Linked DNA regions of Xenopus tropicalis. The protein of the gene in region 3 purifies or fractionates together with the protein of the main gene of each other region. This does not show direct contact. Links are inferred from orthologs where the notes say so. Each region holds a gene or a part of one and is shown on either strand. Other genes may lie near its edges. The genes, in order: tsc22d1, tsc22d2 and nrbp1.

The links.
Region 1: the proteins of nrbp1 (region 3) and tsc22d1 purify together in Homo sapiens (affinity purification with mass spectrometry; 6 studies listed by BioGRID and IntAct, with this or other methods). This does not show direct contact. The link is inferred for Xenopus tropicalis from reciprocal best matches to the Homo sapiens genes NRBP1 and TSC22D1.
Region 2: the proteins of nrbp1 (region 3) and tsc22d2 purify together in Homo sapiens (affinity purification with mass spectrometry; 5 studies listed by BioGRID and IntAct, with this or other methods). This does not show direct contact. The link is inferred for Xenopus tropicalis from reciprocal best matches to the Homo sapiens genes NRBP1 and TSC22D2.

Annotation. Positions count from the first base shown.
Region 1 is NC_030678.2:133,681,713-133,686,101, forward strand, and holds the start of tsc22d1 (TSC22 domain family protein 1), read right to left. Parts: upstream 2,864-4,389; 5' UTR 2,850-2,863; coding exon 103-2,849; intron 1-102. UniProt on the Homo sapiens protein: Transcriptional repressor. Acts on the C-type natriuretic peptide (CNP) promoter. Acts to promote CASP3-mediated apoptosis.
Region 2 is NC_030681.2:118,455,562-118,459,902, forward strand, and holds the start of tsc22d2 (TSC22 domain family protein 2), read right to left. Parts: upstream 2,882-4,341; 5' UTR 2,072-2,881; coding exon 207-2,071; intron 1-206. UniProt on the Homo sapiens protein: Reduces the level of nuclear PKM isoform M2 which results in repression of cyclin CCND1 transcription and reduced cell growth.
Region 3 is NC_030681.2:162,084,995-162,088,641, reverse strand, and holds part of nrbp1 (nuclear receptor-binding protein), read right to left. Parts: intron 3,080-3,647; 5' UTR 3,039-3,079; coding exon 2,847-3,038; intron 2,587-2,846; exon of another isoform or gene 2,556-2,586; coding exon of another isoform or gene 2,514-2,555; intron 1-2,513. UniProt on the Homo sapiens protein: Required for embryonic development. Plays a role in intestinal epithelial cell fate and proliferation, thereby involved in the architectural development of the intestine potentially via the regulation of Wnt-responsive genes.

The DNA.
Region 1 (4,389 bases), on a different chromosome or scaffold from region 3:
CAAATATATATTATTTCTTAAGCAATCTCTGGAAAGCTATATGGGCTTTGCTGACTCAAAGTGATAACAACCCAAACCTTTTAACTTTCTATTTCAACTTACCTTTCATCTTCACCATCAACAAGAGGTGTTGATAGAGGAAGAGATTTCAGTGGAAGCAAGGACCCAGAGACTGGAAGACCACCGCTACCTTCTGAAGAAGCTCCTTCGCCAACAGTGGATATGCCAGCTACTGAATGCTCCATTATACGTCTGGCATCTTCTATCTGGCTTGCCACAGACTGAATAAGAGATGGTGCAACAAACTGGCCTGAACTCTGTGTCAACTGTAGTGGTAAGCTTTGAGCAACTGGTAAATTTGCGATCACAGGTGCTTGGTTACTACTTTGACCCAAATTCCCATTTTGCGCTGCTGAAGCTTGTGAAACTGTTGGTGGTGGACCCAAAGTTGTTGCCGTTGGAGGTAAAGCGGAAGGTATACTTGTACTTAGTTGCTGAACAGTCGGAACACTAGCTGCAGCTAGCAGAGGACTTACAGCAGGTACCTGTTGGTTTGACATGCCTTGTACAGGAGGGTCAATAAGCTGACTTTGAGGCTTTGCAGGAAGCAGTGTACTCTGAGGTGCAATAATGACTTGTTGAGGAATTCCAGGAGGACCAACCTGTATTCCTTGTGGTGGAGGCAATACCTGGGAAGAAGGAGCTGGAACACTCTGTTGTATTATAGATGTTGCAACTTGAGGGGTAGCTGCTTGATGCACTGTAGCAGGAAGGTTACCTTGTGGATTAACACCTAACATCTGACCTGTTGCTGCAATTGATGCCGGGGGGTGTGCCACAGGCTGAGTTTGAGCAACTGCTGCTGGAGCTTGTGCTGTTGAAGACTGAATCTGGGTTTGCATGGCATGTGTTTGGGCAACAGGGACAGCTGCAGTATTAACAACTGTAGAACTGGTTTGCATTGGGGGAATGGCTGTTTGTATTATTTGTGGATGCTGAATGTATTCCGGCAAATTCCCTGGAACAGAACTTTGATTTACTGGTACATGTCCAGAGGTCATCTGGGCAGAGGCAGTCTGTTGATGCGTGTATTGTAACTGTTGTGGAACAGCTGGGAGACTTTGTATGGGCTGAGTCTGTTGAGTGTATGGCAATTGTTGTGGGATCAAAGTAGAAACACTTGGCTGCTGATGTCCCAAAGAGGATGGCACACCAAGTATATTAACTGATGCTGGCTGGACACCAGCAGAAGCATTCAATGGAGCTTGAGCAGGCTGCCCTGCTAGTTTCTGAGGAGAAAAGTTGGCATCTTGTGAATGCATCTGTAACTGAGCAAGCTGGGGCTGGGAAATACTCTGTGGCATACTGGGGGCAGGAATAGTCTGAGCTATTGCGTTACTCAAGTCCATCTGCGGAGGACCTAGACCTTGAAATCCTGGCTGCTGTACGGAAGGCGTCCCCATTTCTCCACTACCAACACTTTCCGTATAATGGCTCAAAGTGCTGATGTTGCTACTAACTGAGCTTCCACTAGTGCTCTCTCTTTCAGACATTACTTCAAGTGGGTTTTGTTTAATGCTCTCTACGGCTTTGTTGATTGCAGCTCCTTCTGTTGCAGCTGCTACATTATCTTTGTCATAAAATTCCATACACGTCCATCTGCCTTTTTTAAAAGGTTCAGAACTAGAGTCTAATTTTACAACTCTAAATCTAGATGTTGCTGCACCTGAAGCAACCGCCTGATGTTGTGCTGCATTCTGTCCAATTGCTGACGCAGCAGCAGCACCAGAAACATTGTTCATGATACCAGAAGTAGCACTGCTACCATTACCAGTAGTGCCTTGTGACTGCAGATTAAGGCTGCCAGGTAAAGTGCCTACATTACTTGTACTTGTGACAGAACTTTGATTTATATTTACACCACTAGGCAAAGAACCTGTTACACCACTCAGACTTGAAATATTTGCATTAGTTGGTGCACTAGTATTACCTGAAGCAGGAGTAATGCCAGTACTTACAGGTCCACTTGTTTTACCTGCAATTGGTGGTATAGATCCAGCAGGCTGATGAGAAACAGAAGGAGCAGCAACAGGCACTGCTGTAACAGCACTATCAGAACTGCCTTGTGCAGGCAGTTTCACTGAAGCAGGAGTTGGGGGTAACCCTCCGGGAATGGCTGCATTGGGTAATCCATGTTGGGAAGGATGGCTATGTCCATGGTGATGAAGGTGGTGATGATGTATACTTCCATTAATCATGATATTCTGCTGTACATTCTGTGGCAGATGATGCTGGGGGAGGTGTGGTTGGTTAGGAGAGACAGCACCAGGTGTCTCAGCTTCCTGGAAGTTATTCAAAGTCTCTTCTGATGAACTTCTTTCTGGACCCCCAAGGTCTGTGGCTCTAGATAAAGACACATCCAATATTTCAGAAGATGACAAATCCTCGGTGTGAGACTCATCCAGATCGTCATAGCTCTCGGTATCTTCAGCAATGCTATTGTTGGAGCTCATGCTGGCTGAGATTTGAGCAGAAGTTACACTGGTGATCTGAAAGCCGCTTTTCTTCTTGATCTGGGCGCCGCTCTGCACAAGTGGCTGGGGCAGTAAATTCAGTGTTTGGGGAGGATGCTGCTGGGGTCCAGGAGATGAAGCTGCGGCGGGAGGCGGAGGCTGCACCAACAGAGGAGGGTAATCATCTGAAGACAGGACGTGGCCGGCGAGCCCTGGCCCTACTGCTCCATGCAGCGCAGCCGAGCTGCCACCAGTCCCACTACCCCTTCTGGGCAGATCTGCCGGGTGCGCCATCTTCCTGGCAGCAAGATCTGCGGCTGGATCAGGCTGGTGCATTTTAATTCCCCTCCTCTAACCCCTTAGCCCACCCACATCCACTCCTCCAAACGTGCAAGATGTGCCTCCCTCACTAAGGGGGATCGGGGCTCTCCTGCTGAGATCAAACAGCTGCAGCCCTGTTCGCTCTATATGTATCTATGTATGTTATAGAGACACACACGGGCAGATGGACGTCACCCACTCCTCTGCGCACTAGCCAGATACATGTAATGCGGTGCCACTTCCCCGGCCGCCTCCCACTCCGCTCTTAATCACAATGATCAAACGCCTTCCCTTTAATGACACTCCTCCATATCAATCCTCAGGGGGCAGTGGCAGCACAAATAGTTTCCCAGGATCCGGGCGCCGGGTACGGCAGATGACAGGACAGCCGCGGTTATCTTGTTCGTTGTCGGTAGTGCGTCCGGTCAAAGATCTGGAAACGTCGGCAACAAGCTGAGCGGCAAAAGAAGAGGCCATCACTGACAGCCTTCAGCAGGCATCGTGCCCGGGGCCCGGCAGCGGCCCAATCCGTATAGCAGGGGCCGAACGCTAGCCGTATAGGGATGCGCTAGCTGGCAACGGCTGCTTTCAGTTCGGCTACTCCAAAATCACCCTTCCGGCACGGAAAAGGGGGGCGAGTGGAAGCCGAAGCAGTAGCTGGGAGCGACCGGCTGTTAATAAGCTCCCCTCTTAGTGTCTCTTTCCCCCCGTGACTCTGCCTTTCTTTTCTCTAGCAGTGCCTCTCGGCTCAGGCTCCCTGTTACACAGCGCCTGTCCCTCCCTCCTCCTCTTTAATCTCACACGGCATTGGAGGACAGCTGCTGGGAGCCGGGCAGGCAGCTTGTCAAAGGGGCGGAGAACTGCATTGACGGGAGGAAGTATGGGAAAATGGCCGCCGCGCATGCGCGCCTGCTACTTTGTGGAACGCTGATAAAAAAGAACTGAGCAACTGGGCAAGTGGGGAGGGGAGAATGGGGGCGGGGCCTGGTGATGACGCAGTAGGCTGTACGATTGGTGGCGGAAGGTTCCGAGGAGTGTAGGGCGAGGGTTTCGGCAGTGGTGACGTTAATGCAGGACTGGGGAAGACGTGTCCAGTGTGTATGTGGGACCGGCTGAGTGCATGTGGCTGGGAAGCTATTGTGCTGTGCCCTAGCCACGTGGCCGCATTGTCTGCCAATGGAGTCGAGTAGTCATAGAAAGAAAATGTGGCTGGGCAGGTAGTCCTGTCAGGAGAAGCTTTCCTCTTGCACCTGTTGTGTCCCTGGTGGGCTTCCGTGCCTCAGTTCTTTCTTTCCTAAGTGTTACACATGGCTCTGCCTGGTGTTAGATTCATTTATTTGACCTTGGTAGTGCCCCCGGACTTCAAAAAAGCTGCTAATAGCTGAAATATTTTCTTGAGAAGGGTGCAGTTTTCTTAGTTCTTGCTCTGTAACTGAAGTCCTCTGTCCTCTGAAGTGACATTTGTGGTATGCATGTGGTGGGGCTGAGCAGCTGGTGCTGCCGTTTGGATCAGCCCTAGAGAGGAGCTTTATAGTCTGCACTGCAGCTGATTTAA
Region 2 (4,341 bases), about 44 Mb from region 3:
TGGTGGAACTGGAGATGTATTACTGAACGGTTGTGAAATAACACTGCATTTGTTTTAACGTTAAAAGCCAAATTGTGTAACTCCACTTTTCTTTAACATACAACAAAAATATTTTGGTATGATTCAGATGCTTCTAAAAATCAAATGCAAGTTCCTGGAGATATATGTATTAACAGCACTTAATCAAATGTGAAATGTTAGCATACCTGTCTTCATCACCATCAACTGGTAAACCAAAAACGGGTAATAGAGGGTTTGTTAAGGTGTCTGTGATGGGGACTTTCACAAAAGGCTTCTCAGAAATAAGAGACATTGGTGGCTGAGGTAGAGGTTCAGACTTTCTTCTGTCATCTATTTGGCCAACCAGTGACTGGCTCTGAGTCTGAAATTGATTAATATTTGACTGTGGCAAACTTGTGTGTACATTTGATGTGCCTTGCATTGTTGGAAGCCCAACTGTTGGGATCAGGCTATTACTTCTACTGACAGATGTATGGCTGCTCAGTGGAGACTGCACAAAAGCAGCAGGAGCAATTGGCATAGTAACAGGAGTGGCAGACACACTTGGCACCGTACTTGGTACTCCAGTAACACCTGTACCAGTTGCAGGCACGTTCTGTATTCCCGGAGCCATGGTAAGGTGTCCCCCTGGAATGCCTGAAACATTACTACTCCCACTCACTTGCTGATTTATAGACTTCTGCTGCACTATTCCAATAGATGGCACAGATGGTTGTGCCCCACTTCCTGGGTGCTGGACATGAACTGGCTGGCTCTGGGTTGCCTGACCGCTCTGTATCAATCCTGATCCCTGGCTCACTGAGTCACTAGTTTTGGGAAGAAGACCTATTAGTTGTGTTCCACCTGCTTGCAGGTGTTGGCCTGGAAGACTTGACTGAGCAACAGTACTTGCATTGAGAGATGTGGTGGGTTTCTGAGTTGTTCCTTGGGATTGTATAACTGTTATATGTTGGACATATTCCGTCTGACCAGCTGGCTGAGGGGACATCATGTGTCCAGACTGCACCTGGGAGTAAGTGAACGCTTGAGGCTGACTAACAGAAACACTGGGTTGCTGCTGAGTTAAAGATATTGTTGACTGGACTGTATGTACATTACGAGAACTGGTTCCTTTGCCATTCGTTGCACTTTGTGCAGCTGTATGTGACTGGCTCTGCTGCACTATCATCTGCTGACTTGTAACAGCACCAGGGTACATCTGTTGGGCAGTACCTTGAGACACCATTCCACCTACCGCCTGCTGCCCAATTAGAAACTGTTGCTGCTGAGAGGGTTGGTTCATTTTCTCATTCTGAAGCAACTGTGACACAGCACAAAGGGAACTGTCAACTGCAGATTCTGAACCGTGGCCACCATGCACAGCAGAGGCCACAACAGAACCCCCTGTGGCCCCCAATCCACTGTCCCTGTCCGCAGAGTGATCAAATGTGCTTGTGTGCCTGATTGCATCCCCAGTCCTAGTGATTAAGGTGGCATCAGAGTCCCTGTCATAAAATTCTGTACATGTCCATCGGCCTCTCCTGTACGGCTCCCCTGAGCCATGGTCAAGTTTGATCACCCTGAAGCGAGAGCTGCAAGTGGTGGTGGTGGTGGTGCTGCTTGTCGCTGCCGACTGAGAAGATACTAGGGGAACACTAGAGGCGGTGGGCGTAGCAGTCGCAGCAGGAGTGATCTGAGTAGCAGTTCCACTAGAAAGTTGGTTTGTCAGACCTAATGTAGCTCCTTGCCCGCTCCCTCTGCTCATGGTGCCCCCATTAGTGCCAATGACCCCAATACCATCCTGCGGCACATTGGGCGACACGGCGCCTGGCGTCTCTGACTCGCCGACATTGCTGAGGGTCTCCTCGGACGAGCTCCGCTCCACAACATCTTCCGGCCCGTAGTCTGTAGCCCGGGAGACATCGAAAATCTCCGAAGACACATCCTCGGTCCGCGATTCGTCCGGGTCATCCAGACTCTCCGTTTCCTCCGTGATGCTGCTGGCCGACTGGGCCGTGATGACACTTGTGATCTGGAAGCAGCTCTTTTTCTTGGCTGGCATCTTTGACATCGTAGAAGCAAGACCAATCCACTAGTGGAGGGGGTGCGAAGGGAAGGCAATCCGGATTCCAGATCCTCCTCCCTTAAGGGGGCTTCGGTAATATCCCTCGGTTACCGTGCTTAGGTGTAAGGGTTCGGGCCCAGATCCACTTCCTGTAAGCAAATGTACGGCTCTAGCGTAACACGGACATCCTGAGCTCTCCCACGATTCCCGATCGCTTCAGGAGTAAAGCCTGTAGGCCCGTAGCCGGAACCCCGATCTCCGCGGAAAGTGCTGTAGAGGCCCGGCCCCCTTTCGCAGCAGCACACTTCAGGGAAGATACAGGCCGCTGTCACAGATGGCGCTGCCGGCTCCAGATCAAGCCCAAAGCTCGGGGTTGGGGAATAGACCCCCTCTCTCCCCTACCTGCTCTCTTGAGTGGGTGTCATGTCGAGCGGCAGACTGGTGCTGTGGAGAAGGCGGATATGGAGCTGTCTCTGAGCTGGGGGAAACTCTCTCACACAGACCCTCCCTACATACACGGGACAGAGGAAGTGAAAACCCGTAAAGAGGGTGGAAAGTACAAGAGAGAAATGTCTGTTAGTGACGGCGGGGTAGGCCGCCCCTCCCCTTGCTCTGTCACCTCCGCCTCCTTTCACCTCCCTCAGCAGCTCTGCACACTCTGAAATTCAAACCGCTCACTCCCCTCCCTGCCCTTCCAAGATGGCAATAGTGGGCACTGTGAGGAGACAGCAAGCAAAAGGCGGCACCAAGAGGCCACAACACGCCCCCTTTGCTTTTGGTTCTGCGCTCTAGACACAAGTAGGGGCGGATAAAAGGCGGTCCGCAGAGAATGGGCGGGTATGTTCTAGTGTTGGAAGGGAGAAACCATAACTAGAAATTAAGGGGGAAGCGGGCAGGGAAAGCGGGTGGCACATTCCTGGGCTGAGTCTCTACCTTTGTCTTTGAGTAAATGCGCAGTCAGGGCTGCTTGTCTGGGAAAATGTGCGCATCCGCAGTAGTGGGATTCAAACGCTGCTGACTGGTTACCGGGCAGTATAGGAACTGCTGGGTAGGGAATTGGGTTAATCGCTATGCTGGCGCAAGTCAGCAGCTTACTGTCTAAAATAGCTTGTGTGAAAAGAAGTTAGCTTTCTTCTGTTGTTTTTTTCTTATATCACATGTGGTATCTTCAATATGTTTTTTCCAGTGTAACAAACATTTTTTTTAATTGAAAAGGGTGAGAAAGAATATATTTTTTGTCTGTTTGCTGAGCAGATAAAGAATTCCCTGTCTGCCTGTTACTTTGGTACCAGGTGGCATTGTGGTGGAGGAAACCCATGAATAGAATGTATAAACCTATGCAGATAGTGTCTTACTGGAAGTGATTCTGTGGCGCTACTGGGGAGACAAAATATCAGTTTGCCTTCCATTGGAATTCACATGTAAAGACTAGAAGTAGATCACCTTTCACATTAATGTCTAGTGTGACATGGATATTCTGAGGACATTTACAACAGATCTTTGTTTTTCTTAATTGTGATTTTTCAGTTGTGTAGCTTTTTGGTTCAGCAGCTGTCCGTTTTAAATTTTAGCAGCTGTCTGGTTGCTAGGGTCTTATTTACCATAGCAACCAGACATTGGTTTGAATAAGAGACTTGGATATGAATAGGAAAAGGCCTGGAAAAAAAGTCAAGTAATGAAACATTAAAAATGAAATTGTGGCTATATAGAGTTTTTTGGCTGCCAGAGTCAGTGCCCCCCCCCCCCAATCTGAAAGCTGGAAAGGTGTAGCAGAGGAAGGCAAATTATTCAATAACTATGAAAAATGAACAATTAAAACAAATTGCAAAGATTTTAGGAATAGAATATTCTATAGCATACTAAAAGTTAACTTAAAGGTGAACCACCCTTACTGACACTCAGTTTGGCCACTTGCCTGTGTGGCCATTTCAAATGGGAAGGCAGAGTGCCTTCCTTGAATTACCGTAGGTCTCTGTGTCCTGTTTTAAGATGGCGATACATGTTAAGATCTGCTCGCTTGGCAAGGTCCCTCTGGGGCCAAATAATCAAATTGTAACGACTGCAATAGGCGCAGTTGGTTCCGGGACCACATCATCGAGCCAATGCTGTCCCTGATCCGACTAATTTTTTTAGCCTGCCCAATCGATATCTGCCCGATTTCAGGCCAGATATCGGTTGGGCAGGCCTGTCGTTAGTGCCCCTACACGGGCTGATAAGCTGCCAAATCGGTCTAAGGGCAGAATCGTCCCATGTATGGCCACCTTTAGAGAGCAGAG
Region 3 (3,647 bases):
GATTCATGTTTGTGGCTGTAATGTGACAAAATGTGGAAAAGTTCAAGAGGGCCAAATAGTTTTGCAAGCCACTGTACACACACAGTGATATACACACACACAGCCCAACCCCATGCCTCATAATCTTATATATCTATATACACACACACAGTGATATACACACACACAGCCCAACCCCATGCCTCATAATCTTATATATCTATATACACACACACAGTGATATACACACACACAGCCCAACCCCATGCCCCATTCCCTATAATCTTATATATCTATATACACACAATAAGTGTATTTATGTACAGCAGAACTATTGGGGGGCGCTGTCTCCCCAGTAAGTGTATTTATGTACAGTAGAACTATTGGGGGGCGCTGGCTCCCCAGTAAGTGTATTTATGTACAGTAGAACTATTGGGGGGGGCGCTGGCTCCCCAGTAAGTGTATTTATGTACAGCAGAACTATTGGGGGGGCGCTGGCTCCCCAGTGAGTGTATTTATGTACAGTAGAACTATTGGGGGGGCGCTGGCTCCCCAGTAAGTGTATTTATGTACAGTAGAACTATTGGGGGGCGCTGGCTCCCCAGTAAGTGTATTTATGTACAGTAGAACTATTGGGGGGGCGCTGGCTCCCCAGTAAGTGTATTTATGTACAGTAGAACTATTGGGGGGGCGCTGGCTCCCCAGTGAGTGTATTTATGTACAGTAGAACTATTGGGGGGCGCTGGCTCCCCAGTAAGTGTATTTATGTACAGTAGAACTATTGGGGGGGGCGCTGGCTCCCCAGTGAGTGTATTTATGTACAGTAGAACTATTGGGGGGCGCTGGCTCCCCAGTGAGTGTATTTATGTACAGTAGAACTATTGGGGGGGCGCTGGCTCCCCAGTAAGTGTATTTATGTACAGTAGAACTATTGGGGGGGCGCTGGCTCCCCAGTGAGTGTATTTATGTACAGTAGAACTATTGGGGGGGCGCTGGCTCCCCAGTGAGTGTATTTATGTACAGTAGAACGATTGGGGGGGGCGCTGGCTCCCCAGTAAGTGTATTTATGTACAGTAGAACGATTGGGGGGGGCGCTAGCTCCCCAGTAAGTGTATTTATGTACAGTAGAACTATTGGGGGGGGCGCTGGCTCCCCAGTAAGTGTATTTATGTACAGTAGAACTATTGGGGGGGGCGCTGGCTCCCCAGTAAGTGTATTTATGTACAGTAGAACTATTGGGGGGGGCGCTGGCTCCCCAGTAAGTGTATTTATGTACAGTAGAACTATTGGGGGGGCGCTGGCTCCCCAGTAAGTGTATTTATGTACAGTAGAACTATTGGGGGGGGCGCTGGCTCCCCAGTAAGTGTATTTATGTACAGTAGAACGATTGGGGGGGCGCTGGCTCCCCAGTAAGTGTATTTATGTACAGTAGAACTATTGGGGGGCGCTGGCTCCCCAGTAAGTGTATTTATGTACAGTAGAACTATTGGGGGGGGCGCTGGCTCCCCAGTAAGTGTATTTATGTACAGTAGAACTATTGGGGGGGGGCGCTGGCTCCCCAGTAAGTGTATTTATGTACAGTAGAACTATTGGGGGGTGCTGGCTCCCAGTAAGTGTATTTATGTACAGTAGAACTATTGGGGGGGCGCTGGCTCCCCAGTAAGTGTATTTATGTACAGTAGAACTATTGGGGGGGGGCGCTGGCTCCCCAGTAAGTGTATTTATGTACAGTAGAACTATTGGGGGGGGCGCTGGCTCCCCAGTAAGTGTATTTATGTACAGTAGAACTATTGGGGGGGGTGCTGGCTCCCCAGTAAGTGTATTTATGTACAGTAGAACTATTGGGGGGGGTGCTGGCTCCCCAGTAAGTGTATTTATGTACAGTTGAACTATTGGGGGGGGGGCGCTGGCTCCCCAGTAAGTGTATTTATGTACAGTAGAACTATTGGGGGGGGTGCTGGCTCCCCAGTAAGTGTATTTATGTACAGTAGAACTATTGGGGGGGTGCTGGCTCCCCAGTAAGTGTATTTATGTACAGTAGAACTATTGGGGGGGGTGCTGGCTCCCCAGTAAGTGTATTTATGTACAGTAGAACTATTGGGGGGGGCGCTGGCTCCCCAGTGAGTGTATTTATGTACAGTAGAACTATTGGGGGGGCGCTGGCTCCCCAGTAAGTGTATTTATGTACAGTAGAACTATTGGGGGGGCGCTGGCTCCCCAGTAAGTGTATTTATGTACAGTAGAACTATTGGGGGGGCGCTGGCTCCCCAGTAAGTGTATTTATGTACAGTAGAACTATTGGGGGCGCTGGCTCCCCAGTAAGTGTATTTATGTACAGTAGAACTATTGGGGGGGGCGCTGGCTCCCCAGTAAGTGTATTTATGTACAGTAGAACTATTGGGGGGGCGCTGGCTCCCCAGTAAGTGTATTTATGTACAGTAGAACTATTAATTATTAATTAAGACTTTTTTCACATTAAGGGGGAAGCGCGCCCCATTTATCCAAACCAGATGTCCCCCTGCCCCAGGACTCACCTCCTCACGTCTCTTCTGCCAGCGCCCCCTGTGGCACACCATGCCCCCCTGCCCCAGGACTCACCTCCTCACGTCTCTTCTGCCAGCGCCAAGCAAACAGCACCCCTGTGGCACACCATGCCCCCCTGCCCCAGGACTCACCTCCTCACGTCTCTTCTGCCAGCGCCCCCTGTGGCACACCATGCCCCCCTGCCCCAGGACTCACCTCCTCACGTCTCTTCTGCCAGCGCCCCCTGTGGCACACCATGCCCCCCTGCCCCAGGACTCACCTCCTCACGTCTCTTCTGCCAGCGCCCCCTGTGGCACACCATGCCCCCCTGCCCCAGGACTCACCTCCTCACGTCTCTTCTGCCAGCGCCCGCAAGGAGACTCCTCTAGGATCTCAGACTCATCTTCACTCTCCTCCTCTTCCTCCTCCTGTGGTGGTGCAGGGGGGGCACTAACAGGCGGTGACATGGAAACCCCACTCTCCATCTTGGGGTCTGAGCCTGTGCTGGGGGCAGTTTTGCCTTCACCTTCTGACATTGCCCTTTGTGTGAATATTCAGAAAATTAAAGGAACAGCACCTGGGGGAGGAAAGGGCAGAGATTAAAGGCACAGCTCAGCACAATGCCTCCCCCCCCCCCCCCCCAGAGACATTAGGCTAATGCCACACGAGGCATAGGGCGGATATTTTTGGTAAGTGCCTGCACCCAAATGCATGAGATACACTCGGGTGCAGTACATGTAGCCGATATACACATGAAAATGCGAGATAATGTAAAAAAAAGACAAAGACAATCCCCCCACCTCGCTACCCCTGCCTCTCTCTCACCCCAATCCCCCCACCTCGCTACCCCTGCCTCTCTCTCACCCCAATCCCCCCACCTCGCTACCCCTGCCTCTCTCTCACCCCAATCCCCCACCTCGCTACCCCTGCCTCTCTCTCACCCCAATCCCCCCACCTCGCTACCCCTGCCTCTCTCTCACCCCAATCCCCCCACCTCGCTACCCCTGCCTCTCTCTCACCCCAATCCCCCCACATCGCTACCCCTGCCTCTCTCTCACCCCAATCCCCCACCTCGCTACCCCTGCCTCTCTCTCACCCCAATCCCCCCACCTCGCTACCCCTGCCTCTCTCTCACCCCAATCCCC